Linked DNA regions of Callithrix jacchus. The protein of the gene in region 4 purifies or fractionates together with the protein of the main gene of each other region. This does not show direct contact. Links are inferred from orthologs where the notes say so. Each region holds a gene or a part of one and is shown on either strand. Other genes may lie near its edges.

Region 1 (4,853 bases), on a different chromosome or scaffold from region 4:
ACAGGGTCTCAGTCACCCAGGCTGGAGTGCAGTGGTGTGATCTCGGCTCACTGCAAGCTTCCTCTCCCTGGTTCAAGCGATTCTCCTGCCTCAGCCTCCCGAGTAGCTGGGATTACAGGCGTGCACCACCAGGCCCGGCTAATTTTTATATTTTTAGTAGAGACTGGGTTTCACCCTGTTGATCAGGCTGGTCTCAAACTCCTGACCTCTACTGATCCACATGCCTTGGCCTCCCAGAGTGCTGGGATTACAGGTGTGAGCCACGGTACCTGGTCTGGTGTTGGTGGGGAAGGGTCACCATTGTTTTACAGCTGATCCAGGTTTTCTGGTGATGCTCCTCTGCTGCTTAGTTACCCTGAACTTCTTCACTGTATTAATGACATAACATATATTTTGCTGTTAAGTACTTATGTATGAATAAGCATAATAAATTATTGCTTATTAGTAGCATATATATTTAGAGTCTGGAACAATGGTTATGCCAACCAACCAGAGTGTCCACAAGGGTGGCTGATAGTAACACCTTTGCTTTCTCATGGTTCAAGGTACACAAACTTTCTTAAAATATTGTATAAAATTACCTTCAGGGTATGTGTATAAGTTATGTATAGAACATAAATTAATTTATTGTTCAGAGTTGGGCCCCATCCCCAAGATATTTCATTATGTTTATACAAATATTCTAAAATCCAGAAAAATCCCAAATCCAAAAAAGTCTGGTCCCAGCGTTTTCAGATTAGGAATACTCACCCTGTAGTAATTTGCCCAAGGTCACATAGCTACTAGCTGGTCGAGACGGGGCCACATCTGCCTGTCTTCAAGCTCGGGACTCTTAAGCCACCATTCTGTTCCGTTTGCATAAATTCTATTTGTGCCAGGCGTGGTGGCTCACGCCTGTAATCCCAGCACTTTGGGAGGCCAAGGCAAGTGGATCGTTTGAGGTCAGGAGCTTGAGACCAGCCTGACCAACATGGTGAAACCCCATCTCTACTAAAAAAAAAAAAAAAAAAAAAAATTAGACGGGTGTGGTGGTGCACACCTGTAGTCCCAGCTACTTGGGAGGCTGAGGCAGGAGAATCGCTTGAACCCGGAAGGCAAGAGGTCGCAGTGAGTCGAGATCACACCACTGCACTCCAGCCAGGGCAGAGCGAGACTCTGTCTCAATCAATCAATTGTACGGGTTTACATTGTTACAGAATAAATTTGCATCATTATTTGCATGATTGATTTAATGTAGTTTTGGCAGTCTCAATACACAAGGACCACCAGCTCCTGACACTGGGAAGAGAGAACGTCCTCGAGGTCCGGAAACTCAAGAACTTGCTGATTCAGGGAGCTTTCAAAAACTATTTTTGGAAAACCCAGATCCAGGTCTTCAGCCGGCTTCACCTGCAGTTCTAGCACTACCCACAAGGGGGAAGCCGACGCTGCACTGCGCTGCCAAATGTGCCTCTCTTCCTCTTCATCTCTGTGGTTAGCCTGGGAAAAGAACCCGCCTCCTAGCCCATGAGGCCCTGGGCCGGAGGCTCTACTTTCTCTTCCTGTTCTCCATCATGGCGGTGAGTAGCTGGGAGTTGGATTTGCTTTTCTTGATCCGCCTCCATCCATGGCAGGCCGAGTCTGCGGGGGCTACCTCGCCCGCAGCCCGAAGAGTATGGAGCCCGCAATGCTTGCCAGCCCAAGGCTGGCAGAGCCGTTAGGGCCAAGGACGCAGGGTTGAAGCCTATCAAGCCCCCTGCCACCGTTCTAGGAGCTGTTCCGGGCAGTTAGTCGGAGAGCTCAGAAGCACAGCTACTAGGCTGCGGCGAAGGCATATGGGGTGAATAGGGGGTTCTAAGGCAGGGCGTTCGGGGCTTTTCCTGGTCCCAGGCACTTGAGATTACTCGGTGCTGGGAAACTTTAACCGGTTCCTCCGCTTAGGGAAGGCGCCAACCTTCAGACAGCTTCCGAAAGGGATTCAGGACGTTGCGTAACCACGTGCTTCCTGTTAACTCCGCAATTACCTTCTGTTCCCTCACTTAACTCCCTTTAGTTGGTCTTACAGTGGGGGCACTCTTTGTTACCCTGAGCCTCTTAGGGTTCGATCTCGAGTATCCTGAGTTTCTCTTCACCCGTTCCTTTCGTGGAGGAAGAATGGGTCCGGAGCTGACTTCCTTGATGCCTCCCAAACACGTTGATGCCCTTTAAACGTTTAGGATTTTCGTTACGATTTGGGATGAGCAGAAATTAAAATGCTAGGCAGATAGAAGTAGAAACTCAGGGCTGTCAGCTGTGAGTGTATTGACTGCTGCTCTTCCCTGTTGCAGCAGGATCAAGGTGAAAAGGAGAACCCCATGCGGGAACTTCGCATCCGCAAGCTCTGTCTCAACATCTGTGTTGGGGAGAGTGGAGACAGACTGACCCGAGCTGCCAAGGTGTTGGAACAGCTCACAGGGCAGACCCCTGTGTTTTCCAAAGGTGAGTAGTGACAAGGACATACAGGGCTGGCCACTCGGTCACCTGGTTATTTTTTAATTTACTTGCTTTAGAGTCTGTTTAGAAAGTGACAGTTCGCATCACTTACAGCATTGAACTCATGAGCCAACCAAGAAGTGTCTTTCAAGATTGGGTGTGGGATTGGAACATTGGATTTTATATGAGCAGATCTTAAGCTAAGACTAGCCCAAGTAACCAGGATATGAGATAGAGTGGAGTTGTCAGGAATGAAGTAAAGATGATTAGGTTTGATTTGCAGTTAGGGTTATATAGGCTGCAAAAAGAACAGGGCATCTCAAAAGTTATATACTGGGCTGGGTGCGGCAGTGGCTCAAGCCTGTAATCCAAGCACTTTGGGAGGCCAAGGCGGGTGGATCAAGAGATCGAGACCATCCTGGTCAACATGTTGAAACCCCGTCTCTACTAAAAATACAAAAAATTAGCCGGGCATGGTGGCGCGTGCCTGTGATCCCAGCTACTCAGGAGGCTGAGGCAGGAGAATTGCTTGAACCCAGGAGGCGGAAGTTGTGGTGAGCCGAGATCACGCCATTGCACTCCAGCCTGGGTAACAAGAGTGAAACTCCCTCTCGAAAGAAAAAAAAAGTTGTATACCTAGATTGCCTGGATTTGAGTGATGGCTTCGCTCTCTGAGCTCTCTGGACCTCTGCCTTTTTATTTCCATGAAGAGGGTAATTCTTTATAATTGTGGAAGGTAAAATGAATTGTATGTGTGCAGTTGCCTTAGGGCAGTGAAATATGGAAAGCCTTTGGATTCAGCCTTTGATTTCATTACCAGCTGTGATGTTTGGCAAGTTAATAAACTTCTCAAAACTTAACCTGCTGAAGGATGGCTGGATGTCTGGAAATTGGAAAATCTGTGCTGTGGATGAAATCTTATTAATAGATGTAGGCAACACTAATTAGAACACCACAACATAGAGTGCGGAGGAGTACATAATGTCTCTGAGCCATGGAGATAGTGTTCTGGGAAAGAGGTGAGTGTAGTGGGGGTATGATGGCATCTGACTCCTTGTTACCCCCTTTCTGCAGCTAGATACACTGTCAGATCCTTTGGCATCCGGAGAAATGAAAAGATTGCTGTCCACTGCACAGTTCGAGGGGCCAAGGCAGAAGAAATCTTGGAGAAGGGTTTAAAGGTGAGGCTGATCCCGTAATGGAGTGATATTGATCAGCACCCCCTTAGTAACATGTAGATAAGTTACATTTAATGTTCTGTTCTTTGGTGCCTTGATATTTATTAACCTTCTAAAAGGGTTTTTCTGCAATCATCAGGGTTAACTATTCTTGGTGGTTTAAAAGATGCTTGGGGCCAGACACAATGACTCAGCTCTATAATCCCAGCACCAGCTGAGAGCCACGTGGATCACTTGAGGCCAGGAGTTTGAGACCATCCTGGCCAATGTGGTGAAACCCCGTCTCTGTTAAAAATATAAAAATTGGCCAAGCTTGGTGATGGACACCTATAGTCCCGGCTACTCGGGAGGCTGGGGCATGAGGATTGCTTGAACCTGGGATGTAGAGGCAGAGGTTGCAGTGAGCTGAGATCGTGCCACTGCGTTCCAGCCTAGGCCACAGAATGAGACTTTTGTCTTAAAAAAAAAAAAAGATGTGCGGGGTGTGGTGACTCACGCCTGCAATCCCAGCACTTTGAGAGGCCGAGACGGGCAGATCATGAGGTCAAGAGATCGAGACCATCTGGCAAACATGGTGAAACCCTGTCTCTTCTAAAAATACAAAAATTAGCTGGGCATGGTGGCTCATGCTTGTAGTCCCAGCTACTTGGGAGGCTGAGGCAGGAGAATTGCTTGAACCCAGGAGGCGGAGGTTGAAGTGAGCCAAGATTGCGCCACTGCCCTCCAGCCTGGCGACAGAGCAAGACTCTGTCTCAAAAAAAAAAAAAAAAAAAAGATGCTTGGGAGTCATTTCATGCCTCTGCTTTCTCTGGGTTTTTCTCGGCCTTTTGGAAGCTGGGAGAGGTCATATTGGATAGTTGGGGTGTGAATCCGTAGTCTGGGTGTAGTGAAGAAGTTAGATTATGCTCCCAGCCAAGTTTCATCAGCCTTTGTTTTTGCTTTGGGGTGCATATTGCAGGTTGAGCTATTTGGGCATTTGGGGGTGGGAGGGTGTTGAAGATGATAAGGAATGTTGTTATTGCTGCATTTTGCTCCGCAGGTGCGGGAGTATGAGTTAAGAAAAAACAACTTCTCCGATACTGGAAACTTTGGTTTTGGGATTCAGGAACACATTGATCTCGGTATCAAATATGACCCAAGCATTGGTATCTACGGCCTGGACTTCTATGTGGTATGAATATTTAATTTTTTCCAGCTCCAGGTCTGTGAGGAGAGGGGAATCTT
Region 2 (4,121 bases), on a different chromosome or scaffold from region 4:
TGAGCCACTGTGCCCAGCCTATTTGCAGTTTTTAATAAACTATAGCTACCATATGACCCAACAATTTCACTGGTGTTTACCCAAGAGAAATGAAAATATATGCCCAGAGAAAGACTTGTACATGAATGTTTATAGCAGATTTCTATATTATACCCCAAAACTGAAAATAACCCAAATGTCCATCAACTGGTGAATGGATAAATAAAAATGTAGTACTGATTAGTTATAAAAAGAGATGAATTACTGGTGCATACCCAACATGGTTGAATGTCAACAATATGCTAAGTTAAAAGATCCAGGCACAACTGGGCATGGTGGTATATACCTGTAATCCCAGTACTTTGGGAGGGTCACTGAGCCCAGGAGTTTGAGGTTACAGTGAGCTATGATCACAGTACTGTATTCCAGCCTGGGCCAAAGAGGGACACCCGTTTCTTAAAAGAAAAAAAAAAATTTTTTTTTAAAAGAAAAAGGCCAGATACAGTGGCTCATGCCTGTAATTCCTGCACTTTGGGAGGCCAAGGCAGGAGGATTGCTTGAGGCCAGGTGTTAGAGGCTACAGTGAGCTATGTCATGCCACTACACTCCAGCCTGGGCAATAGAGTAAGACTGTCTCAGTTAGTCAATAAAAATAAGATATCCAGGCACAAAAGACTACATTTTTTTTCCCCATACAGATTGGATCTTACTTTGTTGCCCAGGCTGGTCTCAAATTCCTGGCCTCAAGCAATCCTCCTGTCTCGACCTCCCAGATTGCTAGGATTATAGGCATAAGCTACTGTCCCAGGCCAAAATAATACATTTTATATGATTCCATTTATACAAAATTCTAAAAGTGCAAACAAACTACCTATGGTGACAGAAAGCAAATCAGTGGTTGGCTGGGAATAGTATAGTGGGGAAGACTGAAAAGAGGCACAAAGGGTTGGGCACAGTGGCTAATGCTTGTAATCCTAGCACTTTGGGAGGCTGAGGCAGGCAGATCATGAGGTCCAGCCTGGCAATGGAGCGAGACTGCCTCTCAAAAAAAAAAAAAAAAAAAAAAAAAATTGCTAACCAAGGCCAGGTGAGGTACCTCACATTTGAAATCCTAGCACTTTGAGGGGCTAAGGCAGGCAGATGGCCTGATCTTAGGAGTTCGAGACCAGCCTGGATAACATGGTGAAACCCCATCTCTACTAAAATAGAAAAAATTAGCTAGACATGGTGGCATGCACCTGTAGTCCCAGCTACTTGGGTAGCTAAGGTAGGAGAATTGCTTGAACCCAAGAGGTGGAGGTTGCAATAAGCCAAGATCGTGCCACTGCACTCCAACCTGGGTGACAGTGAGACTCCATTTCCAAAAAAAAAAACAAAAACAAAAAAAAACGCTAACCGGATAATATTCTTTCACAGTTCTTCCTATTTTAAACCTTTCTAACCCGTATCTGAGGATTTAGTTTATTTCCTGGTTTGTATCTTTATTCTGACTTGTTTTCCTGCTATTACATCTAGAAAATGTGTCAACTCTTGGGCAAATATGGTACTGATTTCATGGCATACAAAGCAAATTGACTTCCGGTATAAATCTTTCGTAGTTATAAGAACTTTATGGCTGGGCACAATGGCTCATACTTGTAATCCCAGCACTTTGGGAGACTGAGGCGGGATTGCCTGAGGTCAAGAGTTCCAGACCAATCTGGCCAACATGGTGAAACCCCATCTCTACTAAAACAAAAAAATTAGCTGGGCTTGGTAGCATTCACCTGTAATCCCAGCTTCGGAGGCTGAGGGAGGGGAGTCGCTTGAACCAGGGAGGTTGAGGTTGCAGTGAGTTGAGATCGCACCACTATACTCCAGTTTGGGCAACAGAGCGAGACTCCATCTCAAAAAAAAAAAAAACAAAAAACCTTCATATGTGTATGTATTACAGAAAATCCTTTGACAGACCCTTAAATGTAGGGGGAAAAACACCTCTACTTGAGTATTTGGGTTAAAGCTTTACTGAACTGTCTTGGGTATTTTTTTTCTTATTTTTCAGTGGCCCGAACCTGTAACTTGATCCTGATTGTTTTGGATGTCCTGAAACCCTTGGGACATAAGAAGATAATTGAAAATGAACTGGAAGGCTTTGGCATTCGCTTGAACAGCAAACCCCCCAACATTGGCTTTAAGAAGAAGGACAAGGGAGGCATTAATCTCACAGCTACTGTAAGTGGGGAAGACTACATGGGCAGACTGCTGTAGGAATTAGAGTGGGGAGTGATGTGCATGGACATTGACACTGGAAAATTTCCTGGCTTTTCCCTGTACTAGTTGAGATAACACAAATGACTTCATAATGACTGACATGAAAGCCTTTAAGACTACGATAGGAGCCAGTCTCAGACTTACCTTTGCCACTTATTTCCTCTTTTCGGTTATTTATTGGGGATAATATGGGAGTGTGGACCAGTTTTATGCTTGCATAAGGTAGATGGCCGCCAATATCTTCTGTTTTCATTCATTTAACACAATTCATCGAGTGTCTGTCATGGGCCAAGCATTATTTTAGGCTCTGGGAAGAGGGAACAGCAAAAATCCCTCTTTTGTATTCTAATTGGATAGAATGCAAACCAGTATTAATGAGTAAAATATAATGGATTAGTCAATGACAAATGTGAGAACAAAAATAAAGTAGGGAAAGGAGATAGAGTGTTGGTGTGAGGGTTGCAGTTTTAAGGTTGGTTGGGGAAGTCTTCACTGAGGTGACATGAAGGTGTGAACCAAGTGGGTATCTTGAAGAAGAACATCTGCTTCATGCAGAAGGAACATCCAAGAGGAAAGGTGCTGAGGCAGAGCATGTCTTTCTATGTTTGAGGAACAGCAGAATGGGCAAGTAAGAGAGTAGTAAAGATAAAAGCATAGCATAGGGACACATGTGCTTTTACTTTACAGGAGATGGTTAACTATTGGTTGGATTCTGTCCCACAACTAAACATGATTTGACTTAGGTTTTATTTATTTATTTATTTTTTTAAAGACAGAGTCTCACTGTGTTGCCCAGGCTGGAGTGCAGTGGTACAAATCTTGGCTCACTGCAACCTCTGCCTCCTGGGTTCAAGCGATTCTCCTGCCTCATTGTCCTCAGTAGCTGGGATTACAGGTGTGTGCCACCACACCCAGCTAATTTTTGTATTTCTAGTAGAGATGGGATTTCACCATGTTGATTAGGTTGGTCTCGAACTCCTGACCTCAAGTGATCTGCCTGCCCCAGCCTCCCAAAGTGCTAGGATTACAGGTATGAGCTACCGTGCCCAGTTGACTTAGATTTTAATGGAATAATTCTGGCTCTTGTGTTAGAATAGACTGCAGTAGGTTAAGACCAGAAACAGAAATAATTTAAGAGGTTATTGCAATAATCCTGTCAAGAAGTAATGGCTTCTTGGACCAGAGTTGTAACAGTGAAGGAGTTGAAAGTGGTTGAGTGTGGAAAGATTTTGAAATAGCTGATAGTAATTACATCTGGATTGTGAAAGAAAGCGTCAGAGATGCCTGTTTTGTTTTTTATTTTTTAATTTTTTTTTTTTTTTAGAGACAAGATCTCATTCTGTCGCTTAGCCTGGAGTTCAGTGGCACAGTCATAGTTCACTGTTACTCAAACTCCTGGGCTCAAGCAACCCTCCTACCTCAGGCTTCCAAGTAGTTAGGACTGTACTCACATGCCACCACGCTTGGCTTTTTTTTCTTTTATTTTTCTTTCTTTTTTTTTTTTTTTTTTTTTTTTTGTAGAAATGGAGACTTGCCATGTTGGCCAGGCTGGTCTTGAAATTTTGGCCTCAAGCTATTCTCCTACTTCAGTCTCCCAAAGTGTTGGGATTATAGGTGTGAGCCACCATACCTGGCCACATTTTTTTTGTCCTGAGCTAAAAAAAAAAAATGAGCTCTTATTACTAAAATGGTAGGACTTTTGGTAGAATAGGTTTGGAGGGAAGAAGAAGATCAGGATGTTAAGTTTTAGATGCCAGTTAGACATCCAGTTGTTTCTGTCAAGAAGGCATGTGAGGTAGGCCAGGCACAGTGTCTCACATCTGTATGTCTATAATCCCAGCACTTTGGAAGGTTGAGGCAGGAGGATCACTTGAGTCCAGGAGTTGAAGACC
Region 3 (4,902 bases), on a different chromosome or scaffold from region 4:
GCGCAACGGCATGATCTTGGCTCACCACAACCTCTGCCTCCCAGGTTCAAGCGATTCTCCTGCCTCAGCCTCCCGTGTAGCTGGGATTTATTACAGGTGCCTGCCACCATGCCGGCTAATTTTTTTTTTTTTGTATTTTTACTAAAGACGGGGTTTCACTATGTTAGCCAGGCTGGTCTCAAACTCCTGACCTCGTGATCCACCTGCCTAGGCCCCCCCAAAGTGCTAGGATTACAAGTGTGAGCCACCACGCCTGGTCTTTTTTTTTTTTTTTTTTTTCCGAGACAGGATCTCAGTGTTGCTCAGGCTGGACTGCAGTGATGCAATCACAGCTCACTGCAGCCTAGACCTGCACTCAAGTGATCCTCCCACTTCAGCCTCCCTAGTAACTGGGAGTACAGGCATGTGACACCACGCCCAGCTAATTTTCACAATTTTTTTTGTAGAAACAGGATCTCGCCATGTTGCCCAGGTTGATATCGAACTCTTGGGCTCAAACAATCCTCTCACCTGGGTCTCCCAAAGTGCTGTGATTACAGGAGTGAGCTACCATGCCTTGCTCCTTTTTTTCTTTCTTTGAGTCGGAGTCTCGCTTTGTCAACCAGGCTGGAGTGCAGTGGCATGATCATAGCTCACTGCAGCCTTGAACTCCTGGGCTCAAGCGATCCGCCTGCCTCAGCGTCCCAAGGTGCAAGGATTACAGACTCATATTTTTAATTTATCTAACTTTAAGCACGGCCTGTACCTCCCCAAGTCGTGACAAACAACGACGTTTTCCTCCAGACTACCTTAGCTCCAGGAGGGCAAAACCACCCTTTTTCAACCAGAAGTTGAAGGATATTGAGGTCACACCACTCAAAACAGAGCGGGAATACAAAAATATCAGAGCTGGTGTTATCTCAGTGATACCTCTTTTAACTTCAGTGACACCCTACTCTCGTGGTCTTCTCCTACCTCCCTAGCCACTCTCCAGTCAGTCTCCTTTCCTGTACTTAAATTTCACAGTACCCCAGGAGTTGGCCAGGGTCTTCCGCTCTCGACTGAAACTTATTTCTTTGAGGTTTTCATCTAGTTCTCCAACTTTAAATAGCATCTCCATTGATAAGCTCACAAATAAGGCACTTTCAAGTCAGTGGAAGAAATGACAGAAGAACAAAGGACTTTCCATATACGGGGGAAAAAAAAAATCGTTCATCGCTGTGGGAGGGCTGCCGGATCTCGGCCGCGCTCCCTTTTGAGCGCCTACAGTGAGAGTAGGATTCCCACAGACCCCCAATCCATAAGTGAGTCAGGGCTCCAAGAAAGACCCACGGAGGGAGAGGGGAACGTCCGGGGAGGCGGAGGCTGATGAAGGCTGCCAGTGAGACCCGCAGAGGCTGATGTCGGCAGGTCTGCGCGCTCGCAACCGGACCCCCCCACCCGGTCAGCAGGAGGACCTTGGTGCGCGATCCTCGGATTCCGCGAAACCCGACAACCGACTGGATCCAAGAGCGCGGTCACCTCTAAAGTGACCATCAACCAATCGCTGGAGGAAATCCGCAGCCTCGTTTTAAGCGACCAATCCGAGACCGCGACGACCTATTATGACACGCTCGAGAACCAATGAAAAATGGGAATTCTCTTAGCCTGCCTCCTGAGTTTCAAGAGATCGCTCAAAGTTTTATAAACGGTACAAATTAGAAAACAACTATTCTGCAGCTGGATTAGAGACATTGTGTTTTCAAAGACGGTGGAGAGGACTGGAGTAAATTCTAGAACCGAGCAAGACCGCACTACCCCAGAACGTCGCAGGCAGCGGACTAGCTACTCACAATCTAGCCCAGGGCCGACACGGGAGAGACGTGCCGCTGCGCGCTGACGTCACGTGCCAGGCCCCGCCCCACCGGCCGCCCATATAGCGTAAGTCTGGCGCGCGCGCGCACCATTGTGTGGCTGGACTCGGCCGCCGCTGCGGTGTGAGGCGCGTGTTCGAGCTTTTGCCGTCCCCGCACCCGCACCGCGGCTACTGGCTTGCGGTCCGCCGTTCAACAACCAGCCCTTGGGCCCCTGCCCGCCACGGACATGCCGCGCGTCTACATAGGACGCCTGAGCTACAACGTCCGGGAGAAGGACATCCAGCGCTTTTTCAGTGGTTATGGGCGCCTCCTCGAAGTAGACCTCAAAAATGGGTGAGTCGGGCCTGAGCGCCCGCGCCTAGCGTCCCAGGCCTGGTGGCGGCGGGAACTCTCCTAGGAAAGAGGCGGCGAAGGCCGCGGCGCCGCGTGGCAGGGCCTTCAAGATGGCGGCGGCGCGGCGCCGCGGGGGCGCGCGGCGGGTTGCGGGCGCGCGCACGTGCGTGCCCTGACTAACGACGCCCCCGTCGGTATCCGGCCCTCGCACCGCCCCCAGGTACGGCTTCGTGGAGTTCGAGGACTCCCGCGACGCCGACGACGCCGTTTACGAGTTGAACGGCAAGGAACTCTGCGGCGAGCGCGTGATCGTAGAACACGCCCGCGGCCCGCGTCGCGATCGCGACGGCTACAGCTACGGAAGCCGCAGTGAGTCCCACCCCCGCGCGCTCCGCGCCCTTGGGGACCCTGGGGGGCGGGGGTGTGTGGGGTGGGGCCTCCCAGCCCGGGCAGGCGCGAGGACCGGGGGTCGTTTGACTCGGGAATCCCCGAGTCCCGCCGCCTTCACGTCTGCCCGGGGTAGGCATGGGACGCCGGAGCGCGGGGATTGGGGTGTTTGGTTTTGTTATTTGCCAAGTTGGGAGGTGGGTGGCTTCTTCTGGCCCCTTGTCAGCACTGTCACGGGTTCTTCCCACAGAGGAAGTAAGGGGTGGCTGTATTTGTTGTATCCCCCTTACTTACCTGTCAGTGCATTAGTTAGAGGATTAGAGGCAGGCTGGGGTGGAGGGGGGCGGGGGGGACGGGGGACGGGGAAGGGAGGATCTTAAAGTACAGATTTTAAAGCTATGGAAATTGATGGGGCCAAAGAAAGTACTATTTCAAAGTAATGTGGTGTTGTACCACAAAGTAGATCTAAATAAGCTTTATGCTGTATTTGAACTAGTTGGGGCATGTTATTGGGAGGAGGTGGGGGGATTTTTGGTTATGTTAAATGTTTGATGTTTAAACTGTTGCATGTTGAATTCAAACTTTTTAACAAGTCCTTGATGTTTCAATTTGAAAGTGACCAATGGGGCTGAGGCTGTGTCCACTGAGGCTAAGATGACTGCCTTTCCTGATTGGCCTTGGCTTTTCCATACATTGTGTGACCCTTGCCCTATGACCCTTTGGCTGACCTTACCGGAAGCCATGACGACAGCAGCCTTTTGCCATTAGACGCAGGGTGATGGTGAGGATTCCAAGGGTTAGACAAAACTGGTTAATCTGAACTAGGTGACTGTTACCTTGCGTGTTTTGTGGCCAAACCACCACCAAAAACCTCACACTGTGATGTAAGTACTTAGTGTAAAACTAGTAAACATTTTTGTAAAATGTAGAAATGCATGTAATCAGTTAAGTTTTATATTTTACAATGTTCTGTAAAATAAAACTTAGCGAGGTAAATTGAATAAAGGAGCAGTCACTCTCTAACAGATTGTAGGAGAGGTTTAGTTGGATTTAGTCTATTGGACTTGCCCTTAATTTAATTTATGGCAAATCGCAAATGTGTCAAAGGTTTAGCAATATAATAGCAAAGTCCTACTCCAGTAAATAAAAGTTGATATGTTTGTACTAACTTTCAAAGACATGCATTTCTATCATTACAAGGCATCTAATTGTTCCCTTCATGTGATAAAGGTGGTGGAGGTGGATACAGCAGTCGGAGAACATCTGGCAGAGACAAATATGGACCACCTGTTCGTACAGAATACAGGCTTATTGTAGAAAATCTTTCTAGTCGGTGCAGTTGGCAAGATTTAAAGGTGTGTGCTATAATTCAGGCTACGAGTGAATGCTTTAAAGTAGCCTTTTTTTACATTCTTATTTCTGGGAATTTATTGTAATATATAGATCTTTCAAGATTTCTGAGTATGACTAGTCTTGCCATTTTAGGATTTTATGCGACAAGCAGGTGAAGTAACCTATGCAGATGCCCACAAGGAACGAACAAATGAAGGTGTAATTGAGTTTCGCTCCTACTCTGACATGAAGCGTGCTTTGGACAAACTGGATGGTACAGAAATAAATGGCAGAAATATTAGGCTTATTGAAGACAAGCCACGCACAAGCCATAGGCGATCTTACTCTGGAAGCAGATCCAGGTAACTTGTGGGGAGGAAACAATATTTGCCAATAAAACAAAAAGGAAGTAATTGGGTAATTTCAGTTGTTGCCTACTTGAATTAAAGCCAGCTTTTAGTTTCTCTTGGCTATAATTGGGTTTTTTTCTAGTTGTTTTGACAGATTTAATTTTGTAGTAAAGAAATACATTATTCTTTGGCTTATCTATTTTTGCCAAATAGCACAGATTTATTTAAGGTGGACTGGGATTAAGAGTTCATTGTGTTTTTCATAATAGGTCTCGATCTAGAAGACGGTCACGAAGTAGGAGTCGCAGAAGCAGCCGCAGTAGATCTCGAAGTATCTCAAAAAGTCGCTCCCGGTAAATAATGTGTTGAGTCTCTGAATATTACTGTACTTGTTTATGGAGTTACGTGTATGTTCCTACAGAGTTTTGAGAAAATTGGTCTTCTCTTGTCCAGTTCCAGGTCGCGGAGCAAAGGTCGGTCACGTTCTCGATCAAAAGGCAGGAAATCTAGATCAAAGAGCAAATCTAAGCCCAAGTCTGATCGGGGCTCCCATTCACATTCTCGAAGCAGATCTAAGGATGAGTATGAGAAATCTCGAAGCAGGTCTCGGTCCCGATCCCCCAAAGAAAATGGAAAGGGTGATATAAAGTCAAAATCCATGTCAA
Region 4 (4,121 bases):
TGTACTTACACAATCACCTGACTATGCATTTCTCAGAATGTGTCCCTGTCATTATGCAACCCATGACTGTCCTTAAATCTTTACCATGAATTCATTTTATATTTGTACAAGAGTCTTTTTTTTTAACCTTATCTTTAATGTGTATCATTTAACAGTTTAATGGAGCCCCCAAGAATTCTTGTCCAAAGTTACATGGACTTCAGGTTAAGAATTCCTGAGTCAGGCCGGGCGTGGTGGCTCACGCCTGTAATCCAAGCACTTTGGAGGCCAAGCTGGGCAGATCACCTGAGGTCTGGAGTTCAAGACCAGCCTGACCAACATGGTGAAACCTCGTCTTTAAAAAAAAAATTGAAAAAAAATTTTGAGTCAGAACATAGAGTCCATGGTGATAAATTGCAGGAAATTCTACCAGAAGGTAGACAATCTGGGATCAAACATACCTGAGACAACTTACTTAGCTAGCTTTGACCAAGTGACTTAACCTTTGAGTCTTAAGAAGATGGAAGAACCAGCCTGACCAACATGGCACCCTGTCTCTACTAAAAGTACAAAAATTAACCATGCATCCCAGAGGCGGAGGTTGTAGTGAGCCAAGATTGTGCCACTGTACTCCACCCAGGGTGACAGAGCAAGACAGTGTCTAAAAAAAAAAAAAAAAAAAAAGGAAGAAACTGCTACCTTGTGGGATTGTGAGGATTTACAAAAATGTATATAAAGTAACTGGTGGTGTTACATGGTAACTTTTATTCCAGTAAAATGTTACTTTTTTTTTAAGCAATGTTTTCTTAAATTGTGTATTATGTTACAGGAAGGTGCTTAGGAATTTCAAATGTTGCATGTTTTGACATAAGCATCACAAAACCAAGTCTGTATTTTAGATGGGTTATACATAGGCTCCTGCTGAGAACAGATGACTTACAGAACAGTTTATAAACTGTGGCCATATTCTAGTGACAGTAGTTGCAGAAAACACTGGATGGAGATGAGGAGCCATTTCAAAAGTCAAACTGATAAGATTTAACAACAGATTGAATAGAATAATGGTTACTTATTGTGTTCTGTGTATCAGCAATTTGAAGTACTTTATTTTCATTATTTTGGCTAATGCTGACGACTATTACATAGGTATGATTTTTATCCATGTTTTATAGACCACAGAGAGATGGTGTAACTTCCTCAAAATCCACACAGCTAATAAATAGCTTGATTGGTTAATTTTTGGTGGAATATGGCATCCTTAAATAAGTTGAAGGAGGCCAAGGTAGGTGAATCACCTGAGGTCAGGAGTTCAAGGCCAGCCTGACTAACATGGTGAAACCCCATCTCTACTAAAAATACAAAATTAGCCAGACATGGTGGCAGGCATCTGTAATCAGCCTCCCAAAGTGCTGGGATTACAGGTGTGAGCCACCATGACCAGCCGAAGAAAGTATTTTCAAGGAGGAAGTTACCAACTGCATTTGCTGCTGAGAGGTCAAGTAGACCAAGCCCATTGAGGACTTTGCAGTATCTCTAGAATGGTGCAGAGGAAAGCCTGACAGAATGGGTTGAAGTAAGACCATTAGGTGAAGAACGTGGTTATGTGGTACTTAATGACACCTGATTGTTTTTCTATTATTCTGACCTGTAGCTGTGTTTTATGTCTTAAATTAGCATCACCTAAATATGATATTACTTGGATATCTTCAAACTTGGTGCTTGACTGATCTACTGAAGCCTGTTCTAAAATGCCAAAATGTCCTTCTGTTGATGAGAATGCATGTTTAGTTGGAGATTTGAGGTGAAATGCATTAAGGGCTTTGGACCCTCTTACCAGCTATCAGACTCAAGTGATTCAAATACTATGTTTACCAAAGAAAGATACAAGGCAAAAGATAGGGTAGATATAGCTTCTTCATCCCAGCAATGGCCAAGCCATTATATCTAGCAATTACCCAGATTCGTTTCTTTTTTCTCCCATTTACCCACAAGAGGCATGTATGGCTTCCCTAGATAAGGACCAAGGTGTGTTTAGGATAATTTGACACATAAAAGCTTTAACACCTTTTGCCTGTCAATCTGTTGTTCCGGTCACATAGGTATAAGGCCTCCATGTCATTCAATAGCTGCTCCAAACCAGGTACAACATGGGAAACAGATACAACACTCCCCATTGGTTTCTCCAGTTTCCAAGAAGACTGTATTATGGGAGACTGAGGTTATTCTCAAGCAGGCTGTGTTATCCCAGACCGGATCCTTTGCTCATATACCTCAAGTGATTCAATTCATTCAACAAAATGTAGGCACAATTTATTCAACAGATTTTTAAGGGACTGTTGTGGCAGGGACTGACAATCTGTCAGTAAACAAAACAGACAAAAATCTCTGATTTCATTGATCTTACATTCTAGGAAAGAAAATGAATTGCAAAGTAGTTGTAGTAATGTTAGATGATAAATGCTATGGACGAAAATAAGACATGGAAGTTACCATGTATGTGTCCAGAAATTTGCATTATTAAATATGGTTGTGGGAGGAGACTTCAAAGAGGTGACCTTTAAATAGGCACTTGAGGAGGTAGGAGAGCAAGCTGTTATCGCTGGGGATATGTGTTTCAAGAACAGGTTTAGACCTGATAGATTTTGCTGGGTGAGTTTCAGGAAGTACAACAAGGACAGTATGACTGGAGCTGACAAAGCAAAGGGGAAGAGCTATGCAAAGTAACTTGAGGAAGGAGGGGGTTAGAAATTGCTGCCCAAGAGGCCAGGCGTGGTGGCTAAGGCCTATAATCCAAGCACTTTGGAGGCCAAGGCAGGCGGATCACCTGAGGTTGGGAGTTCAAGACCAGCCTGACCAACATGTGAAACCCCATCTAAAAAAAAAAAAAAAGATTAAAAAAAAAGTAAAAAAAGAAATTTCTGCCTCTAGAAAGCATAAATTAACATTTTAAAAATCAAAATCAATAATCAGTTTATTTTTATTTTGTCCCATAAAGGTTATAATATTAAAAATCTGAATAGGCCGGGCACACCGGCCAATGCCAGTACTTTGGGAGGCCAAGGCAGGTAGATCACCTGAGGTCAGGGGTTCCAGACCAGCCTGGCCAACATGGTGAAACCCCATCTCTACCAAAAATATCAAAAGTTAGCCGGGTGTAGTGGTGGGCACCTGTAATTCCCAGCTACTCAGGAGGCTCAGACTGGAGAATTGCTTGAACCCAGGAGACGGAGGTTGCAGTGAGCCAAGATCACACCATTGCACTCCAGCCTGGGCAACAAGAATGAAACTTCATTTCAAAAAAAGAAAAGTGAATAAAACTTATTTGGTGGGGGAGGGTGGTGGTTGTGATGGAAAATATCCAGGTTGCTTAATCTTACACTTTTCATTTACTGGCTTAAAAGTACAGCTTAGTGAGATAAACGCATAGTTGTTATGTTATACTAGAATAATCTGGCCCTGCAATTTAAAAGGTGGAAAAAAACTAAAGCTGCGATTTCTAACATAGGAGGTAAATTATTTTATAATTTAAATTATTAAATATAAAAATAAATTTTCCTTTTGTCTTCTGACAGCCAAATGATGAGACCATTATTCTCTCAGACAATTAAAGGCTACTCTAAATTAAACTATATTTGCTGTTTTGCTGATTTAAATATTTACCTCTTTTTCTTATAATGCACAGGAATGGAAACTGAAAGTGGAAATCAAGAAAAGATAATGGAAGAAGAAAGCACTGAAAAGAAAAAAGAAGTTGAAAAAAAGAAACGATCACGAGTTAAACAGGTGCTTGCAGATATTGCTAAGCAAGTGGACTTCTGGTTTGGGGATGCAAATCTTCACAAGGATAGATTTCTTCGAGAACAGATAGAAAAATCTAGAGATGGATGTAAGTTTGCTTCAGTAAAGGGACCAACTTGTGGATAATGGTTGCCTCTGAATTTAATGGTTGCCTCTGAATTTACTTATAAAGTAGTATATTCTTTTTTTTTTTTCTTTGACACGGAGTCTTGCTCTGTTTCCCAGGCTGGAGTGTAGTGATGCAGTCTTAGTTCATGCAACCTCCGCCTCCCAGGTTCTAGCAATCATCTTGCCTCAGCTTCCCTAGTAGGGTCTACAGGCACACACCACCATGCCTAGCTAAT
Region 5 (4,833 bases), on a different chromosome or scaffold from region 4:
TTTAGTTTTAATCACAGATCATTAACCCTGCAAAGTTTTAAACATTAAAGATCCAACTTGCCTCGATCCTACTGTGTCCCTAGGATTGACACACTTTAGGGTGTAGCTTTCCGAAACTTTTTTATTAGACCTACAACATATTAGTTCAGAAATATGCACTATTAGGAAAGAAATATTTCTCGAACGCCTTTCCATGACAGTATGTTGTGATTTTTCCTATTCGTTCTAACATTTTAACAGCTTCCTAAAGAAGCGACTTCTCAAAGTATTACTTAACAACAACAAAACCCTCCCCTGTTCTCCAAACCTCAAGTGGTGAGGAGGTGGGGGGGAAAATGTCAAGTCGAGGCAGCCAGGAGCAAACTTACGCTTTCAAGGAGGTTTATGGGACAGAGGCCTAAAGGCTTCCTTAGAGAAGTCACTGTGGATAAAACATTCACCCTCACACGCCATTACATTCACCGACTCCCCTTCCTCACAACCCCAAATCGAAGACCTCCCTCTTCTGGAGTCGATTGGACGACTGGTCCGAGCACTTTCCTTAGGCTGTCCGTCTACTGGCTCCAGATTCGGTCCATCAGTTTAACCGCCCGACTCCCGCATTCCCCATTGGAGTCAAACCGCTGCCTCCTGGAGAAGCCCAACCTACCGCGCGCTTCGCGCTTACTGGCTCAGTGAGACGCAGCTCAGGAGGGGAAACCCGTCTCCCACATTCCGATGGCCCCAAGGGCCCATCAGTCGGCAGCTCAAGGCAGACCCAATTGGCGTATACGCAAGCCAGTCAAAGTCTTCAGCTGCACCGCTCCAAAGAACCTACAGGGATTAAAACATCCCGCCCCCTGTTCTTCTATTGGTTGGCCCGACCCACCGCTGCCCTTTCACTATCCCCCACCCCGCGGTCCATTCATTTCACACAATAACGGGCCCAAATAGAGTCAGTTCGAGACCTACGATGGGTAGAGAAGACTGTCTGCCACTTACCCGGGATTGAGAGTGATCACTCACGCTAACGTCTGCCCTGTTGCTGTATGGTGAGGCCGCAACGCAAGCCACCACCGCCACCACCTTCTGCGCAACGCCAACCGCCCGCCAAAACGGATCCTTCCCTGCGCCTGCGCAACCAATCCGGGAACGGACCCTTTCTCCGCCCACCACGCATGCGCAAAGCTGGAACCAACTCCCGCCAATACGCAGGCGCCGTAGGGTCACTGCCTAGTACTGCCCGCCATTTCACGTGTTCCCAGAGGCTGCTGGAAGTTCTTAATGCGCCTGCGCAAAACTCGCCATTTTACTACACGTGCGCTCAACAAGCAGTCAAAATTTTGACCTGCTGGCTAACTGCTTTTCTGACACATAGTGTTAATCATGCTTTGCCAAGCGTAATATTTGTGCGGGGAAGATTAAAAAGGCGTTAAACACCCAAGGTATATTCAAATATGAATGATTTATCGGCTGGCCAATCAGACTGGTTAAGAATAATATTACTCGGGAACCAATGAACTCCAAGGGGTGGAGAGGGCGTAGACCGCCCAAAGGAATGACGTTACACAGCAGTGTGGCACCACAGGCCAATAGTAGGGGGAAGAGATTTCACACATCCAATCAGAACTGTTCAAGGGCGGAGTGTACCAATGCTGAAAGGGAGGAGGCGGGGTAAAAAAGAAAGGCCGAAGGTAGGCTGGCAGATACGTTCGTCAGTTTGCTCCTTTCTGCCCGTGGACGCCGCCGAAGCAGCATCGTTAAAGTCTCTCTTCTCCCCGCGATCATGTCTAAGTCAGAGGTGAGTTAGGCGCTCTTTCCAACTTGAATTTCTTCCTCTTCCTTTCCTGAATTGGTAAGATGCGGCTTGGTTTCGTTCCTTTCACCAGCCCATTCTACAGTTTTTTAGGTTGCTGCCACGGCCTACCCCTCCCAAAGTTCAAGTCGCCATTTTGTCCTGTTGATCGCCATGAGGCCGCTCGCGCCAATCATGAGTTATTATGCAGCACTCTATAGTCTTAGCAAAAATTCTTACGCACATAAGGCTTTTCCTTTTCTAAACCTTGCTTTGGTGAGCGAGTTTTTAAAAGAGCGATTAGTCCCATTTTGGCGATGTACCCCTCCCGCCTAAGCCTTTGTTGCGCGTGCGTCGGAAGGCGACTAGGGACGCATGCGCTTTGGATTTCGCAGCACTCCCAACCCCCAACATACCTTCTCCCCTGTTAGAGAGAAGCACATGGCTTGTTGCAATCTGAACGAACAATAAGTGCTACATACACAGTTGTCTAGTTTTGATTTTCCTCGATGGAAATTGTTTGGTGTTACAGCTCATTTAACACTTCCGCCTCCCCCACTGTAGTCTCCTAAAGAGCCGGAACAGCTGAGGAAGCTCTTCATTGGAGGGTTGAGCTTTGAAACAACCGATGAGAGCCTCAGGAGCCATTTTGAGCAATGGGGAACGCTCACAGACTGTGTGGTAAGAATTGGAAGGGACCAAACAGTAAAATAGTGGATTTCCTTGGTTTATCTTGGGGCGGTTCTCTCTGAATACTTAGGAAGGTTGTTAGTAGTATTATAGCTAGAGCCTTGTTGACGAAGGAAAGTCCTGCTTTGTTTGATAGAGTTACCTCTTAAACCTAGGATAGTGGGAAACTGGAGGGGTTTTTGTACAGGGCTGGTATAAAGTTTCCTATTCCCTTGTTCAAAGTTAAAATTACAAAAGTTTTTGGGGTCAGACTTTGTTACATGAATTAACACTGTTCTCAGGTCATGAGAGATCCAAACACCAAGCGCTCCAGGGGCTTTGGGTTCGTCACGTATGCAACTGTGGAGGAGGTGGATGCAGCCATGAATGCAAGGCCACACAAAGTGGATGGAAGAGTTGTGGAACCAAAGAGAGCTGTCTCAAGAGAAGTGAGTGGTTTTTTTACCCTTCAATTCTTTTGGCGATGTGCTGCTAGTGTATTTGGATTCAGGAGTTTTGTACTTAAAAATTTTTTTATTTGGGTGTAGGTTTGGCTAATCTAAACCTGTGGTTTTCCTCCTATTAGGATTCTCAAAGACCAGGTGCCCACTTAACTGTGAAAAAAATATTCGTTGGTGGCATTAAAGAAGACACTGAAGAACATCACCTAAGAGATTATTTTGAACAGTATGGAAAAATTGAAGTGATTGAAATCATGACGGACAGAGGCAGTGGCAAGAAAAGGGGCTTTGCCTTTGTAACCTTTGACGACCATGACTCCGTGGATAAGATTGTCAGTAAGTATCAAATAGTGGTATTTAGTAAGGGTTCCGCAGTCCATGTGGCGTTCTAAACCCTGAGACCATGTTGTACCTGTCTTCATTTTTTTTTTTTTAGTTCAGAAATACCATACTGTGAATGGCCACAACTGTGAAGTTAGGAAAGCCCTGTCAAAGCAAGAGATGGCTAGTGCTTCATCCAGCCAAAGAGGTATGCTTATTGCTTCATTAAACCTTAAAAGCAACTTTCAGTTACTCCAGTATGAATGATTTAACGTTTAAACTTCATCTCTTTAGGTCGAAGTGGTTCTGGAAACTTTGGTGGTGGTCGTGGAGGAGGTTTCGGTGGGAATGACAACTTTGGTCGTGGAGGAAATTTCAGCGGTCGTGGTATGTACGGCTTATTTACCTGTAGTTCTGACTTCTTACCATCTTTGCTATGCAGGTTTTACAGTACAGGAAGTGCATCCAGAATGTCATTTGATATGCAGATCATGCTTAAAACTTAAAACTTTGTTTTCTTCCAGGTGGCTTTGGTGGCAGCCGTGGTGGTGGTGGTTATGGTGGCAGTGGGGATGGCTATAATGGATTTGGCAATGATGGTAAGTTTTTTAGGAATAAGTAGATAAAAATTCCTGGCAACCTGTGTCTTTAGAATAGGTTAGTCAAGACTAAAATTCTAGTGCATGACAAGCTCAACTTTTCCCATAACACGCATGCTGTGAGCAGGCCTTCAGCCATTACACTTGCACAAGTTTTCATTGTCAAATACTTTTGTCTTATTGAGAAGAATTGTATTCTTGTAGGTGGTTATGGAGGAGGCGGCCCTGGTTACTCTGGAGGAAGCAGAGGCTATGGAAGTGGTGGACAGGGTTATGGAAACCAGGGCAGTGGCTATGGCGGGAGTGGCAGCTATGACAGCTATAACAACGGAGGCGGAGGCGGCTTTGGCGGTGGTAGTGGTAGGTATCCAGTGATCCAAGTACTTGGTGTGACAGCTAGAATAGCCTTTTAGAGCTTGGGTTCTTGGTGCTGTTGAAGCATTGTCTGGTACACTGCATGGTATATTAAATGGGCTTGCTATGCTACCTCCTCCTAGCTTTAAGCTGGGGCCGCCTCACTCCCAATTAGTAGAGATAAGTGGATAATGGTGTCTTTGAGTTAGATTAGTGTCATAGAAGGATTTAGTATCTTAAATGCTTTGGGACCTTAGGCGCTTAGTTGATGGATCCAAGAAATTTCTGATTGCCTGTGGCCCTAGATCTCCCATGAAGGCCTTCAAGGCTGGAGGGTGTGTTTGTGCCGCTATGGAAATCTCTCTATGTCATGGAGTTAGGCCAATTTTCTTACGACTGGATTATTCAACTGAATGCCTTTCCCAGAGAATGAAATGCAAAGATGGAGTCACCATAGTTTGGGAGGAAGGAAGGCAGTTAACCCAATCTTACTTTTATTTTGACCACTAAACAGAATTGGAAACTAGCATCATCAAGTAACAAAGGCCCTGTTTCCCATTCCTAGGAGGCAATTTTGGAGGTGGTGGAAGCTACAATGATTTTGGCAGTTACAACAATCAGTCTTCAAATTTTGGACCCATGAAGGGAGGAAACT
Region 6 (4,121 bases), on a different chromosome or scaffold from region 4:
TGAGAGTGTCTTTATTTTCTTGAATGTCTTATGTGGCCATTGGCTCTCAGATTTTTATAGTGGCATTTAGAATACTTTGAATTTAATATTGATGTCATTATATATTACCCATATCTCATTCATTCAGCAAATTGAATCACAGCCAAATAGTGCTAAATACTGGGAACACAAATAAGTAACTCTGTTCTGTGGTCAGGCTACTTCCAGACTAAGTTACTCTTTTGAGTATTCTTAATTTTTCTAATCTTTTTCTTGTTGTAATTTTAAAAGGAAGAAATAAGTTGAAAGTCCAAATTAAAATTATTCACTCATTTTAGCGTAACACTATTTCTGGTTCTGGGAAATTTTCTTCACCTCCAGTTTGGCATTATTTCTGTATGGTAATTATTGACTCCCCCAAGATATAATGAGACTCAAATATTCACCTCTTGAAAAGTGGGTACCCAAATCTTGACATTTAGAAATTGTCTTCTCATGGGAAATTTCTTGTATGTAATCTTGAAACATCTGAGTTTATTTTATGCCTATTTTCTGAGTCCACAGTTACTTGGTTTGTTATTAATTTTAGGGGTAGATATTCAAACTTGATATTTTTCTGTCTTAGTTAATATCTTTGAAATGCTGTGTTCTTATACTTTCATCCCAAGGACCTAATTTACTAAGCTTAAAAAAAAAATGCTGGTTTCTGGATCTCTGATTGGCAAAGCTTCTACTATCTTGGTTTGTATTACATGCTTATATCCTGGTGTTATAGCTGCTTTTATTGTTGCTATAGTTAAGTAATAGAGATAATTAAGAAACAGTTTATGTTCAGAATCCTCCTTGTCTTGTCCTCTAGATGCTTTTTCTATCCCTTCAACAAGGTAGTAAAGATAGGTATCTTGCTGTGTGGCAGTTACAGCCACACAATGAATCATTGCTTGATTTAAAAGAGCACTAGAAGATGGTGACTCTGTGCCTAGAAAAAGGAGTATACTGGATAAATTGGACCCGCTTCTCTCTCCCCCCACCCCCGCTCAGGTATAGCATCATCTTTTTGCTTGAGGTATTTTTTTCTTTGCCTCTACAATGTGCAAATTAATATTATTATTATTTTATTTATTTTTATTTTTTTGAGACGGAGTTTCGCTGTTGTTACCCAGACTGGAGTGCAATGGCACGATCTCAGCTCACCGCAACCTCCATCTCCTGGGTTCAAGCAATTCTCCTGCCTCAGCCTCCCGAGTAGCTGGAACTACAGGCGCACACCACCAGGCCCAGCTAATTTTTGTATTTTTAGTAGAGAAGGGGTTTCACCATGTTAACCAGGATGGTCTCGATCTCTTGACCTCGTGATCCACCCGCCTCGGCCTCCCAACGTGCTGGGATTATAGGTGTGAGCCACCGCACCCAGTCTGCAAATTAATATTATTTAAACTTTCTCTTATTTGGCATTTTTAGTATGTTAAATCAACTTTTTAATATATCTTTTCCCCTTTTCCCTTTGTTCTATGTGTAAAATGAGTAAAACAGATTTTATAAAGTAGCACTATTTAATGAATAACTTTATTAAAACTATTAAACAGTCTAGTCATAGCCCAACTCACAGTTCGTACTATTAATATTGCTTTCCTTCCTTGCACACCTCCCTTTTAGAAAATAGAGGGTTTTGGCCTGGTGCTGTGGCTCACACCTATAATCCCAGCACTTTGGGAGGCTGAGATAGGTGGATCACCTGAGGTCAAGAGTTCGAGACCAGCCTGACCAACATAGTGAAGCCCAATTCTACTAAAAATATGAAAATTAGCCTGGTGTGGTGGTGCACGCCTGTAATCCCATCTACTCAGGAGGCTGAGACAGGAGAATACCTTGAACCCAAAAGGCAGAGCTTGCAATGAACCAAGATTGCACCACTCCACTCCAGCCTGGGCAACAAGAGCAAAACTCTGCCTCAAAAAATTAAAAAAGGAAAATAGAGGGTTTTTCAAAATGTATTTGTTTTTAAATCACCAGATTTTTATATTTTCTGCAGATAATATCGCCTACTGCGTTATTTTTGGCTGCAAAAGTGGAAGAACAGGCTCGAAAACTTGAACATGTTATCAAAGTAGCACATGCTTGTCTTCATCCTCTAGAGCCACTGCTGGATACTAAATGTGATGTATGTAAATACTTGGTTTTTAATTTTTCTTTGTAAATTTGAAACTTTTTCATAACGTAGGCCTAATAAAAACACAGTTCAATTAGTGTTGCTTCTAAATGCTGCTTATTTTTATTACCTCTTAGGAATGCAATGCTAGGAAGCAGTCTGGCAGAAAAACATTTCATGTATATTCATGAATTTGGATGTCATTCTGAAATAGAAGGCTTTGGTTCTAGATGCCTTGTAGATTCAAAGATACTTTGTTTCACATTTTGTTGTTCAGAGTTATGACATATGTAGAGGATAAGTCATATCACCTCCACTGATAGCTGTATTTGAGACCAGAATATAAATAACTCTTAAATTGACAGAAGATGAAGGAACAGAAAGTCTTTTGAATTTATCCCTAGACGAGTAGTCTTTTTAAAGTATTTTTCCTTTTTTAGTGCATGTACTACTACTTATCTCTCTGATACATAAAGCTCATTTTACTATGCTTTCATGAGTAGCATTCTTTTAGTATTTTAATTTTCCAAAAGAGTAATGTCACTTTCCAGACAACTTTTCATCAACATTGTAATAAACCTTATTTGAAAGAACTATTTTAAATTTTTCTGACATCTTAAGATGGAAGTTAGAATTGTGGCCCTTTAAAATCATTTTTCTAGCATCCTGGGTTGCTTAATCAGGAACCTTTATTCATTAAATGACTAACAGATTATATTAATTGAAGTTGATTTAAGTTGAAGTCCAGATTAATTTAAGCTTTAATGGAACTATATCTGATTTTATTAATGGCAAGTTTTATCATAGATTTTGGCTTTAAGGGAGTAAACTGTTAATGTAGCCATTAAATAATAATGAGTTTGTCATTATTTAAAGATAATTCAAGCTGTTTCTATTAACTATACGAATTCAGAATTATTTCCAGGGGTACTGTTCAAATAATAGAAATTCACTATGTTTTAAAAATCAGCTCAGTGACCTTTCAGAATAGAGCATAAATAAAATGAAAGGTGCTTTTACTCTCTGGCTTTAGCAATATGTCCTTACAAAAATGAATATAGGTATATTCATATAGGTAATATAGTATTTCCTTATCACCTTGGTCAATTGTCATGATTTCAGAATAAGATAGCAGTAAATTTTTCATATCCTTTATTTTCAGAGTAATTGTAATGGAAGGATAATTTCTTGCAATTGAGTAAGATGGGTTTCTGGTATTTATGTCCCCATGGGTATGAGATAAATTATTTTGGTATGTTTGGTCACTCCTGAGGTAGCAGAGAAGTTAATTCTGGATTAACTCCCTGACTTACTGTGACTTTCAAGGAATTACCACATGAAATGTCCTAGAGTGAGTTTGTAAGCCAGGTTTGAGTTCGATGTTTTTAGTTGACTTGGTGCTTCCTGTCTTTAATATCTCTTGAAGCACCAATGCCTAGAATGTTTCACTTTACAGACTGTGTACATCTTAGTTCAGTTAACTTACCCCCTTTCATATTGTTTACTTTTTCGTTTTTTGCTGTTTGTTTCCTGTTGTAGAAAATAATTCATTTCAGATTTGCTACAGAATATATGTTTTCTCTGTTACCCTCAGTTTATTTTCTCCATATTTCCAAACTATTGCAGTTCTTTTGTAATCAACCTGTAATTCTCACAAGATGTAACAGTCATGTAGTCTAGTAAAGTTATTTTTATTTTAATCAATTTGATAATATTTTTATCAAACAGGCTTATCTTCAACAGACTCAAGAACTGGTTATACTTGAAACCATAATGCTACAAACTCTAGGTACGTACTTATATCAGATAATGGCTTTTTGTTTGTACTTCAATAAAGTATTCTAAATAAGAGAAAAGATTTCTGAAATAATTTTATTATTGAAGAAAGTTATTTTAAAACAGATTTTAGACCAGAATACAATTGCTGGGTTATGAGGAAATTACTTTTCTAGAATTTAATTTCATTTGGCGTAATTAAATTAAATGGTAAACA
Region 7 (3,129 bases), on a different chromosome or scaffold from region 4:
TAAGAGTTGAGCTGTAGATTCTCTGGTCATTGAGCATATTCAGGTGAACAAAGCACCCAAGACGTGCCACCAGACTCACAGAGCTCATGGTTGGATTAACTCCTGCGTGAGCTCCCCCTGCCACGCAGAGACGGTCTTCACTGAAAAAGAACACAGTGTCCTAATCCACAAGAGGAGGTACCCAGAAGAGAAAGATATCCCAGAAGAAACTGAAGAAGCAAAAACTTACGGCACAGGAATCAATTTAGCGTAAAATACATGCAAGTAGGAGTTTCAAAAATGGGCAAAAGACCTGAAGAGACATTTCTCAAAAGAAATACAAATGGCCAATGAGTTCCTGAAAAAATGGTCAACATCACTAATCATCGGGGAATTGCAAATTATGCAAATTAAAAATGAGCCCAGGAGGTCCAAGGCTGCCGTGAGCCAAGATTGAACCACTGCACTCCAGCTGGGATTACAAGCATGAGCCACCACGCCTATAAACATGTTTTCAAGTGCAAAGGAAAGTTGATAAGTATCAGTAAGGTATTATTGATATATGCTTAATACAAGCCCATTTGATCATGTATAACTAATCTTATAAACAATATACCTTCTTTTATCATCACTCTTAACCTTTTTTTCTGATTCCTTCTAGGAAGTTACTTTGCAAAAGATGCCATCTATTCCCACAAAAATTGCCCATATGATGCCAAAAACATCGTTATGTTTGTAGCCCGAGTCCTGGTTGGAAATTTTACTGAAGGAAATATGACGTACACGAGCCCTCCTCCCCTGTTCAACAGCTGTGTGGATACTAGGTTGAATCCCTCCGTTTTTGTCATCTTTCACAAAGATCAGATTTACCCACAATATGTGATTGAATATACTGAAACAGACAAACCCTGCGTGATTAGTTAGAACCGATGAATACAGCGTCAGAAGGATGCCATAACTATTCTGTTCCCTTGCAGAATAAATTGCCCCAGAAAGTAAAGTTTTATATTTTAATGTCTTCGATCAGTGGTCCCCAAACTTTGCTACACATTTGAATCATCTGGAAAGTTTTAAACAAATTCTGATGCTCAGGTTGCACCCCATGCCAATTAAATCATTTCTAGGCGTGAATGCCAGCCAGGCAGTTGTATTTTTTAAAGCCCTTCTGATGATTCTGATGTGTTGGAAAGTTTACCTTGTCTCACGTGTAACTGGCAAAGCTGATTTGAAAATTTTCTGTAATTGCAGCAACCTTTCTCTCCTGTCTACTCTTTTAGTTTACCGTATGCCATGGTTTTGTTTTGGCTATATTGAAAGAAAATTAATTTGGGAAATTTGGGAGAAATCTAATCATGCCTGTTGAAATAAGGATTTAAGACATTACAGCCTTAGAAGAACGATTGTGAAAAGCTGGGGAGAAAATGCTTAAGGACATGCTAGGAAAAAAGGAAAAATGGAAATGCTGTGGCAGACATAGCTGCCGTACTGTACCTTATCATTCTGATGAAACTGATTTGGAGCACCCATTTCTTTATCGCTACATTTATTTAGGGGACAAACTCCATCCAGGTTGACTGTCTCTGGAATGTGGTAATAAGAGCTGCCACGTATGGCTCAGAGAGAAGCAACCAATTGGAGTTAATTGCCCATTTGGGCTCTTTGTATAATGATAGCAAAGTAGACATTTATGTTCTAATTAATGTGATTATAGAGAAGGCTTTTTCTCAGGTCAGGCTTTTCATGAAAGTATTTTGAGAACAATGAATTGCAATAACCAGCTTCACACAAGCATGACTGATAAATGCGAGTGCTATTGTAGTCTTGGCAAACAAGCCAAGAACCTAGGAGCCAAGAACCTAGGAGCAGGGCCATTCCTACCATTCCTACCGAAGGGCTGGCCCCCTACGGAGACGAAATTTGTTTCCTGGTGAGCACAGAATCAGAACAAAGAACAGTATCCCAAAGAGGCCCTGTGCCTACCAGGAGCTTCTTTTTCTAAATATAATGGATTAGGTGGAATTGTAGTACCATCGGTTTTTATTTAGAGCAGGTGGAGTGCTTGGACCAATATTTCCTTCTTTCTTATGAACCAGGGTTTTCCTTCCAATTTTCTCTTTTCAACATTCCTTACCAGTCATCAAAGTTTCCTGTTATAATTTCTTCTAGCAGACATGTTAAAGTCAGATTTAATTAGCATCAGAATTGATTTTATATTAGTCAGATTTTGGATCATCACAGAGATCTCCACAACTCTTTGTCTTAAACGACTCCACCAGTAAAAAGTATAGAGATTTTTTTTTAGAGTAATTTTGTGGGAGGGGGACCACAAATGCTTATTCTCATTCACTCATGTTTTTTCATGGTAGCTTTCATTTTGGAGTGTTCATTTTCTGAACTTGATCCTCATATTGTAGGGGTGCAGTGTGTCCAACTCTTTCCAACAGCCCATTAGACACCACTAGCTGGATATTTCACAGGCATCTTTGATTCAACATGTCCACAGCGGAACTCTCCATCCTCCTCCCTCACAAGAATCTGTTTCTCTCCCGGCTTCTGTATGTAAGTGAACAGTATCACCATCTACCGATTGACTCAAGCAGAAATCCAGAAGTCATCTTTGACTCTTTGCTCTCCCTCCTGATAAATGTCTAAGCAGTTTCTAAGTCTAGTTTTACCTCTTACCTATCTCTGTTCCCTTCTAAGTTGTTTGATGTGTTTTCTTCACAGCAAGAGGCTTTTCTTTTTAAAAATGTACTTAGTAATGCATATTCAAAGCACAAATCCCATCAAGTCTTCAGGATAAAGTTCAAAACCACTATCATAGCCCCACGTGACCTCTCCCTCCCCTCCCCTCTGTGATTTAGTTTCTTCTGCACAAGCCACTCTGGCTTTCTTTCAGTTTTGTGGTTCACATTTTCAGCTAGTTCAGTGGTTCTCATTGAGCACTTCTGCCTTTTTTTTTTTGACAAATACAAATGCATCTTCTCTATTATCCTCAAAATCTAATTCAGAGGTGATATGCTCCACCTACACACAATTTTAGAAATAAATTAAGAATTAAGTAAAACTAATATTGACATAAAAAGGAAATAAAGGATACCTAACTTGGGAACAACTATAATTGAAGACCTAATGAAGTAGTCAGATGCT

What was found.
Region 1: the proteins of LARP7 (region 4) and RPL11 purify together in Homo sapiens (affinity purification with mass spectrometry; 3 studies listed by BioGRID and IntAct, with this or other methods). This does not show direct contact. The link is inferred for Callithrix jacchus from reciprocal best matches to the Homo sapiens genes LARP7 and RPL11.
Region 2: the proteins of LARP7 (region 4) and DRG1 purify together in Homo sapiens (affinity purification with mass spectrometry; 3 studies listed by BioGRID and IntAct, with this or other methods). This does not show direct contact. The link is inferred for Callithrix jacchus from reciprocal best matches to the Homo sapiens genes LARP7 and DRG1.
Region 3: the proteins of LARP7 (region 4) and SRSF6 purify together in Homo sapiens (affinity purification with mass spectrometry; 3 studies listed by BioGRID and IntAct, with this or other methods). This does not show direct contact. The link is inferred for Callithrix jacchus from reciprocal best matches to the Homo sapiens genes LARP7 and SRSF6.
Region 5: the proteins of LARP7 (region 4) and HNRNPA1 purify together in Homo sapiens (affinity purification with mass spectrometry; 4 studies listed by BioGRID). This does not show direct contact. The link is inferred for Callithrix jacchus from reciprocal best matches to the Homo sapiens genes LARP7 and HNRNPA1.
Region 6: the proteins of LARP7 (region 4) and CCNT2 purify together in Homo sapiens (co-immunoprecipitation; 3 studies listed by BioGRID and IntAct, with this or other methods). This does not show direct contact. The link is inferred for Callithrix jacchus from reciprocal best matches to the Homo sapiens genes LARP7 and CCNT2.
Region 7: the proteins of LARP7 (region 4) and ZC3HAV1 purify together in Homo sapiens (affinity purification with mass spectrometry; 3 studies listed by BioGRID and IntAct, with this or other methods). This does not show direct contact. The link is inferred for Callithrix jacchus from reciprocal best matches to the Homo sapiens genes LARP7 and ZC3HAV1.

Annotation. Positions count from the first base shown.
Region 1 is NC_133508.1:60,429,802-60,434,654, forward strand, and holds the start of RPL11 (large ribosomal subunit protein uL5), read left to right. Parts: upstream 1-1,530; 5' UTR 1,531-1,553; coding exon 1,554-1,559; intron 1,560-2,306; coding exon 2,307-2,457; intron 2,458-3,525; coding exon 3,526-3,632; intron 3,633-4,668; coding exon 4,669-4,800; intron 4,801-4,853.
Region 2 is NC_133502.1:201,905,990-201,910,110, forward strand, and holds part of DRG1 (developmentally-regulated GTP-binding protein 1), read left to right. Parts: intron 1-2,020; coding exon 2,021-2,190; intron 2,191-4,121. UniProt on the Homo sapiens protein: Catalyzes the conversion of GTP to GDP through hydrolysis of the gamma-phosphate bond in GTP. Appears to have an intrinsic GTPase activity that is stimulated by ZC3H15/DFRP1 binding likely by increasing the affinity for the potassium ions.
Region 3 is NC_133506.1:38,841,617-38,846,518, forward strand, and holds the start of SRSF6 (serine/arginine-rich splicing factor 6), read left to right. Parts: upstream 1-1,923; 5' UTR 1,924-2,061; coding exon 2,062-2,168; intron 2,169-2,388; coding exon 2,389-2,537; intron 2,538-3,785; coding exon 3,786-3,910; intron 3,911-4,040; coding exon 4,041-4,249; intron 4,250-4,506; coding exon 4,507-4,590; intron 4,591-4,690; coding exon 4,691-4,902. UniProt on the Homo sapiens protein: Plays a role in constitutive splicing and modulates the selection of alternative splice sites. Plays a role in the alternative splicing of MAPT/Tau exon 10. Binds to alternative exons of TNC pre-mRNA and promotes the expression of alternatively spliced TNC.
Region 4 is NC_133504.1:84,550,291-84,554,411, reverse strand, and holds part of LARP7 (la-related protein 7), read left to right. Parts: intron 1-3,661; 5' UTR 3,662-3,663; coding exon 3,664-3,865; intron 3,866-4,121. UniProt on the Homo sapiens protein: RNA-binding protein that specifically binds distinct small nuclear RNA (snRNAs) and regulates their processing and function.
Region 5 is NC_133510.1:65,267,672-65,272,504, reverse strand, and holds the start of HNRNPA1 (heterogeneous nuclear ribonucleoprotein A1), read left to right. Parts: upstream 1-1,704; 5' UTR 1,705-1,765; coding exon 1,766-1,780; intron 1,781-2,338; coding exon 2,339-2,455; intron 2,456-2,745; coding exon 2,746-2,892; intron 2,893-3,029; coding exon 3,030-3,240; intron 3,241-3,340; coding exon 3,341-3,433; intron 3,434-3,519; coding exon 3,520-3,612; intron 3,613-3,749; coding exon 3,750-3,824; intron 3,825-4,028; coding exon 4,029-4,184; intron 4,185-4,743; coding exon 4,744-4,833. UniProt on the Homo sapiens protein: Involved in the packaging of pre-mRNA into hnRNP particles, transport of poly(A) mRNA from the nucleus to the cytoplasm and modulation of splice site selection.
Region 6 is NC_133507.1:95,699,983-95,704,103, reverse strand, and holds part of CCNT2 (cyclin-T2), read left to right. Parts: intron 1-2,011; coding exon 2,012-2,140; intron 2,141-3,856; coding exon 3,857-3,917; intron 3,918-4,121. UniProt on the Homo sapiens protein: Regulatory subunit of the cyclin-dependent kinase pair (CDK9/cyclin T) complex, also called positive transcription elongation factor B (P-TEFB), which is proposed to facilitate the transition from abortive to production elongation by phosphorylating the CTD (carboxy-terminal domain) of the large subunit of RNA polymerase II (RNAP II).
Region 7 is NC_133512.1:108,285,525-108,288,653, forward strand, and holds part of ZC3HAV1 (zinc finger CCCH-type antiviral protein 1), read left to right. Parts: intron 1-640; coding exon 641-903; 3' UTR 904-3,129.